Linked DNA regions of Yarrowia lipolytica. Each later gene encodes a partner of the first gene's protein in a complex. Links are inferred from orthologs where the notes say so. Each region holds a gene or a part of one and is shown in the gene's direction. Other genes may lie near its edges. The genes, in order: YALI1_E12067g, YALI1_E00551g and YALI1_F13366g.

Evidence for each region.
Region 2: YALI1_E12067g (region 1) and YALI1_E00551g share a complex: the UniProt entries of both Saccharomyces cerevisiae proteins name them as parts of the mitochondrial small ribosomal subunit. The link is inferred for Yarrowia lipolytica from reciprocal best matches to the Saccharomyces cerevisiae genes MRPS16 and MRP17.
Region 3: YALI1_E12067g (region 1) and YALI1_F13366g share a complex: the UniProt entries of both Saccharomyces cerevisiae proteins name them as parts of the mitochondrial small ribosomal subunit. The link is inferred for Yarrowia lipolytica from reciprocal best matches to the Saccharomyces cerevisiae genes MRPS16 and MRP10.

What each region holds. Positions count from the first base shown.
Region 1 is NC_090774.1:1,205,285-1,207,710, forward strand, and holds YALI1_E12067g (mitochondrial 37S ribosomal protein bS16m), read left to right. Parts: upstream 1-1,435; coding exon 1,436-1,756; downstream 1,757-2,426. UniProt on the Saccharomyces cerevisiae protein: Component of the mitochondrial ribosome (mitoribosome), a dedicated translation machinery responsible for the synthesis of mitochondrial genome-encoded proteins, including at least some of the essential transmembrane subunits of the mitochondrial respiratory chain.
Region 2 is NC_090774.1:54,670-57,336, reverse strand, and holds YALI1_E00551g (mitochondrial 37S ribosomal protein bS6m), read left to right. Parts: upstream 1-1,472; coding exon 1,473-1,768; intron 1,769-2,143; coding exon 2,144-2,165; downstream 2,166-2,667. UniProt on the Saccharomyces cerevisiae protein: Component of the mitochondrial ribosome (mitoribosome), a dedicated translation machinery responsible for the synthesis of mitochondrial genome-encoded proteins, including at least some of the essential transmembrane subunits of the mitochondrial respiratory chain.
Region 3 is NC_090775.1:1,335,989-1,338,181, reverse strand, and holds YALI1_F13366g (mitochondrial 37S ribosomal protein mS37), read left to right. Parts: upstream 1-1,318; coding exon 1,319-1,498; intron 1,499-1,576; coding exon 1,577-1,666; downstream 1,667-2,193. Other genes in the region: YALI1_F13384g (uncharacterized protein), read left to right, coding at 1-191; YALI1_F13373g (ubiquitin-40S ribosomal protein S31 fusion protein), read right to left, coding at 376-828. UniProt on the Saccharomyces cerevisiae protein: Component of the mitochondrial ribosome (mitoribosome), a dedicated translation machinery responsible for the synthesis of mitochondrial genome-encoded proteins, including at least some of the essential transmembrane subunits of the mitochondrial respiratory chain.

The sequences.
Region 1 (2,426 bases):
GCTTTAACCGCCGTCGAATGATCGCCGTAATGCACCTAATGTCTAATGATCAGAGCAACGCACAGAGCGATTCAAAACGTACCGGATAGGGAGGTTACGGCCAGCCTCATCACATCACACCAGAAATGTATACCATGACATAAGCCATGTAATGCCAACACACCAGACATGTAGTTGCCATCACAGGCAGACATGTAAATGCCATCCACAAGACATTGTAGTGCCATCAACAGCAACATGTAATTGCCATCACAGACATGGAGTGCCATCACAGACATGTAATGCCTCCACTCTGACCATGGTCTAACCGTGCGGACGCTTGCCACCATCGCCAACGGTCACATGACCCGGCCCACCTTCTAGAAGATCTTCGGTGCAGATCGCTACAGGACAATCCCGAGGTCCACGCCGGCCGGCTTTATATGCGTTAATATCGTTCTTGTAGCGGGAATTAGCCCGTTGAGATCTTCTGCGCGGCTGGAGAGGGCGTCGCACGTGTTCGGGAGCGGATCCGGCTAGGTTTCTGTTGATTTCCTGACATTGTGTGATCATTTATGTAATTTTCGGGATTATTTTTGATTATTTTGATTTTTTTGATTTTTTTTGATTTAATGGAATCAAGGATAATCCAAATAATTCGATAAATCCAAAGAAATCCAAAGAAATCCAAAGAATTCCAAAGAATTCCAAAGAATTCCAAAAGAGGGAAAAAAACCAACAAAAACATCAACAACCAACCCCAAATCAAAATACACGTCACCGTCTTCCATCAATCAACCCGATTCTCTCTTTTCACTCAAATATGCTCCGATCAGCATCTCTATCAAGACAACTTCACAGCCACAATGAGCAAATATCCCTTCTGAATGTGAAACCAAACGTCCTGAAGAAAGAGCCAATTCGAGAGCGATCTAAGAAAGGTAGAAAACAGCTGAGGCCCGGAAATATATCTGCAATCGGCCCAAAATCAACCAAAACCACCCCAAACCCCCCATAACCTGTTTTCTACCACCCCAAACCGCCAAAAAACCCCCGTGACACCCCTGACACCCTCCAACCTGCTCTCCAACCACCCACAACCCTCCTCCCCTACCCGGCCATGTCTCACGATCACCGTTGAAGATCGTTGTGGCTCCCAAGCCCAAACTGAAGATGGACGGAACAAAGCCCACCAAACTCGTCGACGATCCAGCACGTGCCAATGCAATGCAATCACGTGACCAGACAATATAGCCGCCGCCTGCAATCTCGAAATCAACTCCAGATCAAAAATTAAACAAGAAATCTGCCCCAGTCGAAAATCGAACCGCGGACCAAATATTTGCTTACTCAGCAAACCTTAAGAAGCCCTTACCCTGACATGATGCAAAATGGCATGTAAAATTGTGTCTCCAGACGCACCGTGAAAAAACCCACCGACACTTATCATCTCATCATGAAGGGAGGAATCAGAATTCGACTGGCGCGATTTGGCCGACGACACTCGCCCCTGTACAACATTGTGGTGGCCAAGGCCGGCCAGCGACGAGACGGTTTGCCCATCGAGGTGATTGGCACATACAACCCCATTCCTGCCCCCCGGTCGCACGAGGAGCTCAAGAGAGGCGTGCTGCCGGTGAAGGACGTCGAGTTGGACTTTGATCGAGCAAAGTACTGGATTGGAACCGGTGCCCAGCCGTCGGACACTGCCACCCGGATCCTGATGCTGGCTGGCGTGCTTCCTGAGGACTGGAAGGGAGTCGACAAGAAGCAGTAGGTGGTCTGGGGGGTGTCCGAGAGTGAGAAGCATTGATTTGTGTTGTTGCATTGTGGTGGAAGCAAACGGTGCAGACACAGACACAAAAGGGCTCAGATCAGACACAACACAATCACACTATCACACGGACAAAAAGAGACAGACCAAAAGAGACAGACACAAACGCGAACGGAGTGTGACTGTGAGGGATGGTTGATCCGACGAGAAGCAGATTCGGACCAATCAGGAATCTTGTACATAGATAATGGATGTTTAGTTGAGTTGAGGTGGCTGAAGACGAGTAGTGTGATGGAGGTGCGTGAAAGGGTTAAGCGGTGGTGTCGAGTGGATCTGGAGCGGGCTAGAGCGGATCTGGAGCGGATCTGGAGCGGATCTGGAGAGGATGTGGGACACCGGTGGAATGAGAGAGAGGAGGGGAGTCAGAAGAAGGTCTGACGAATATCGAGGGTAGGTTCAAACAGGGGGAGTTGGGAAGCGAGGTAAAACGGTCAGTTGCGATCGCATTACATTGAAAGTAGTATCAAATTAATCAGAGACATGAGGAGAGTCCAATGATCATTGTTAATCTCTTGTAGGAGCAGTATCGAAAGCGCTGGGGTGTGTTGTGGTGGTGGGTGTCGTGTGTGCATCACGCAGACTCTTTAACGAGATTGGCGAGTCGGTGGATCAG
Region 2 (2,667 bases), about 1.2 Mb from region 1:
ATGTGGGTGAATAATGAATCACAAGAATGAGAATCAATATAGACGAGAACAATTCCCGACCACCCTAGACTCTATATACACCACACAGTTGCTCACAAACTCGAGCTGTTCTAGGCCGGCAACTAAACCTTGGACTATTGAGACAGCCGCCTTAACGAGATACGATAATGTGCAGTAGTTGCAACTGCGTACTCAGCTGCCTGTCAGACTCAGTGCTGAGAACACGATAACACTGAGTACAGTTGACGCGGGTGACATGATAGAAGCCGACTTGAGCTTCGAGAAATCGAATACTTGGGCCCCTTCTGTGATCTGTCATTGCTCCTGAAGGGCCATCCCTAGACTGGAACCACGGTCCAATTCACCCCACACAACCAATGATTCAGCCGCACATGGGTCTGATGCGTACTTATGTGCACAACTTGCAGGCTCGGTGCTTCATCAGAGGATACTATGGAAGCAGCTTTCAGGCGACCGTCTGAATAGGGGACAGTACGAAATTTGGCTACAAACAGGCATCTACAGTATGTACACACGAGTAGTCGAGTGGCTGAGAAATAGTTGACAGATATTCTACAAGTACAGACGTGTGTCGGTTGATCGAGAATCCATATCTTCTCAAATGATATACAGGAGAGGTAGACTTTTTCTTTCTTTCTCCAGCGCCGTTCCTAATACTTGTACTATTACAGTATCTCGAGATATCACCGTTTTCCAGGCACTTAGGTAAGTGTCTTAGTTGGCTGATTACTTGGGTAAAATTTGAAAGCCAGGACATCATCAATATCATTTAACTAATGTCTGTTAGCTGCACAAAAATGGAAACAATCCCAGAAGCACTCATAGCTCTTGCAAGATACCATTTATCAATAGACCCCATCAAATAATCATCATTAACCAGGACTGTGGTCTCGAGAAATGTGACAGGCCATCAATGCTCTTCCTACTGTAGGTTAAAACAGGTTAAAACAGGTTAAAACAGGTTAAAACGCCATCTGCCCGTAATACTGTAGTCAGTGATATTACATACAGCGACTCTCTCAGAGCAAGCTACAATACCTGCCGGTATGGTACTTGTCCGAGATGTTGCACCCACAGGTCATTTCCAGGTATGTACAGTACATACTTGATACTGGTACATGCTCCGAACGCAAAAAATGCACGTGACTTTTACCTGAGCAGTAATTAGAGATGAATGTTAGCAGCATCTGGCTTACATGAACGCAGTCATATATTTTATCCACTTTGAGAGCAACCAGACCCCTCAGGTAAATTTCCTTTATTGTTCATATATCCGACCTACCTATTTCGGCTCGATATTAAAGTGCTCTTAATTACTCACGTATTGTACTGACAGACCGACCATGTTCAGAGTGCCAAAATAAGGTTGCAGCATCCAGTAACATTTTCAACCTTCATCTCTCACACGACGTCATCGCATCCCAACTACCCCTCTACACAACAGACTCGAAATGCTCTACGAACTCGTTGGAATCGCATCGGTGACTCCGGCACACGCGGCCGCCAAGCAGGCCGTCACCCAGATCGGCCGAATGATCATCGGCAACAGAGGCGTGGTCCGCCTCATTGAGTGCTGGCGATTCAAGCCCCTGCCCCAGATCATGAAGGCCCAGCAGAAGAGCTACGTGGTCGGCGACTACTTCTACATGAAGTTCGACTGTTCTCCCGGAGCCCAGGGCGAAATCATGCGAGCTGTCCAGGCTGACCCCCGTTTGATTCGAACCTTTTGCGTCAAGCTGAATGAGAAGTGAGTATGATATGGTTGCTCTTGAACAGAGTAACGAAGCTGGAGAGCTAACTGGGACAGGCGAGAGCTATTTTGTGAGCAGAAGTGCCCGTTTGGACAAAAAATGAAGTCTTTGCTCATTCTATCCTTTTCTATTTAAGATGCTCTTTTGACAATCATTCTCTAATCTTGAGTGGCGTCTTGAATAAGCAACCCAAGTCTAGACACGGACATGTTGGATTCTAGTCTTCGCCAAGCCGTCGGAATTCCTCCTCTGTTACCTGAAATAGCACCTCGAGCTATTAGAAGCGACCAGACATTTATATACGACTTGAGGCAGTTCCTCGTTGCATTCAAACAACTATATTTCTACACATCTTCAACATACTAACACAGATCCAGCAAAACCCTCATCTAGCATCTCTATTTAATGTACATATTCGACACAGTGTAAGTGATTTTCTTGCCTAAGGCGTGCCTGTAGGTGGACAGTATGTTCAAACTTCAGAACAAGGGCATTAGTTAAGGAGTAAAGACGACTCTTGCCCGTCTTGTGTGTGATACAACTGTTCTTATCTCGTGTATCCGAGACACTGTTTTAGCTAATACATGGTCTCGAACACGGGTGTGTGTGCATACTCATAAGACTACATACCGGCACTGGTACGAGGGAGTAACACTGTCAGTAACTACAACTGTTCAGATATGAAGTCAAATAAATCTCTCACGGCTGCAATATCGTAGATATATACTGGTGCCGTACATACCTGTACACGGATTACAAGTCGTTAATCGTCTAAAGGTCTATGCGAGTGTCGTCATGACACGACGACTCATTGGCAAAAACTGCATATGCTACCTTTAGTATGTACTGTACATACATCAATATCACACGAACCCCATTAACGTACTGTTTATTG
Region 3 (2,193 bases), on another chromosome or scaffold:
CCCCCGACAAGTACAACTTGTTTGACCACAACTGCAACCACTTCACACAGGAGCTGTCGCAGTTTCTGACCGGCAAAGACATCCCGGTCGACATTTCGTCGCTCAGCCAAAACGTGCTCGCCACTCCCTTTGGCCAGATGTTGAGACCCATGTTGGAACAGGGCATGAGCGGAATCACCCAGCGTCAATGATGGGTTTTATTTATTGCAACGAAGATGTAGACCGAATGAAGTACGGGTACACAACTACAGACTGAGCGGTATCTCGCTCGTGAAACAGACGCTGCGGTGTTCAGCTCTACTTAGAAAATTTTTAAACAATCTACAGCGTTGATTTTTGTTCAAGAGATAAATATACTAAACTAAATCAATACATTTAGGCCTTGAGGGTGAGGTGGCATCGGCCGCAGTACTGTCGGTCCTTCATGTCAGCCATGAAGACACCGGCACCGCAGGACTCAGACTCACACTCTCGTCGAAGTCGCTCAACCTTTCCGTCATCGTCAACCTTGTAGAGGTTGAGGACAGCAAGCTTGTTCTTCTTTCGCTTGTGCTTGATCTTCTTGGGGGTGGTGTAGACCTTCTTCTTTCGCTTCTTACCACCACCTCGAAGTCGCAGGACGAGATGGAGAGTGGACTCCTTCTGGATGTTGTAGTCAGAAAGGGTTCGGCCGTCCTCGAGCTGCTTACCGGCGAAGATAAGTCGCTGCTGGTCCGGGGGAATTCCCTCCTTGTCCTGGATCTTGGACTTGACGTTGTCGATGGTGTCGGAAGACTCCACCTCGAGGGTGATAGTCTTACCGGTAAGGGTCTTGACAAAAATCTGCATTTCGGTGTCGTCTGCAAAGAAAACTGTGCTGTTGTTAGTGGTTGCTCCTTGAGGTCCTGCTCTTCAGCTTTTGCATCGCTCCACTGCGTTCGCTGCGTTCGCCACCGTGTGGTGTGTCGTTATTACTCACCGTCTTTCTAGCCGAAGTGTCTGAAGAAGAAGAAAAGGAAGAGCTGCCGTGTAAATTTATTTCCATGCAAGTTGAGTGGGACTTCTCAAATAGGAAGTTACCCGGACCGCTATAATAAAACCTTATTTGATTTATGGTCACGTGGCGAAATGAGGTGGGGGGGGGGGAAACCGAAGAAAAAAAAACGTCGGTAATCTAGCTATAGCCGTAACTGACAATGCTCCATAGACCCCGTTTATCCGCCGTATCGTATATTTCCAGATTCCTTCCATTTTTTGCTGACTAATAACCCTAACCACCAGCATCTCCAACATGCAGTAAAATTTCACTGCAACATCACCATACACAAAGTCTCGAAAAATGACCGCCCAGAAGTTGCCCAAGCTCAAGTATCTGCGTGTCAAGAACCTGCAGACCGCCGAGGCCCCCCAGGCCGTGCAGCTTCTGTCTCGACTTTTGGCGTGCTGGTCATCCAACGGTGTCAACTCCGAGGCCTGCAAGGAGATTGAACAGGAGTTCAAGATGGCTGCCTGCAAGAGTGTGAGTATGAGAGGAGAAGGGTTGGAGATGATTGAGGCGACAGGGTCGGTTTAATTTCGTTTTGCAATTCTAACTCAGGTTAAACCCGTCAAGCAGCAGGACAGTATCAACTTCCACGCCAAGCGACTTTACCCCAAGATGGTTCCCCAGGGAAAGAACCGACGATAAGCGATGTCATCCATCGCCAGCATGTACATATTTATGAATTCTCTGTGATTTACGATACTGGGAGCGAGACGGAATTGGTAATGGTTGAAGATCGGAGGTGGGATGTGTAGGGAGAGGTGATGGAGGTGTAGGGTTTCCAATGGTCTGTTTGATATGTTGACGCCTCTGGGTATTGTAGTTCTGCAATTACTTGAGTTAACCAGAGTAACCAGAAGTTGTAGAAGAACTCTCTCGATTAGTACAATGTATCATAAAGGTCCATCTCATATCTCCAGACTGTAGACACTTTGCGACCACCCATTATGGCGATACTGTTGAGACGGTGCATGTAATTCGATTCGCTGTAGACTGTTGACGCTTCTTCGTATGCTTCTGTAGACCACTCTAGACCACTCTAATGCGCCGAAGTACCATCTGCTCAGTTCCAGCACGAGGTTCCAGTGTCCAGGTCCCTGTGATAAGTCAAAGGTTTTCAGTTGCACTACGATGCTGCAGGGCTACCAATGTATAGGAACTATAGAACCAGT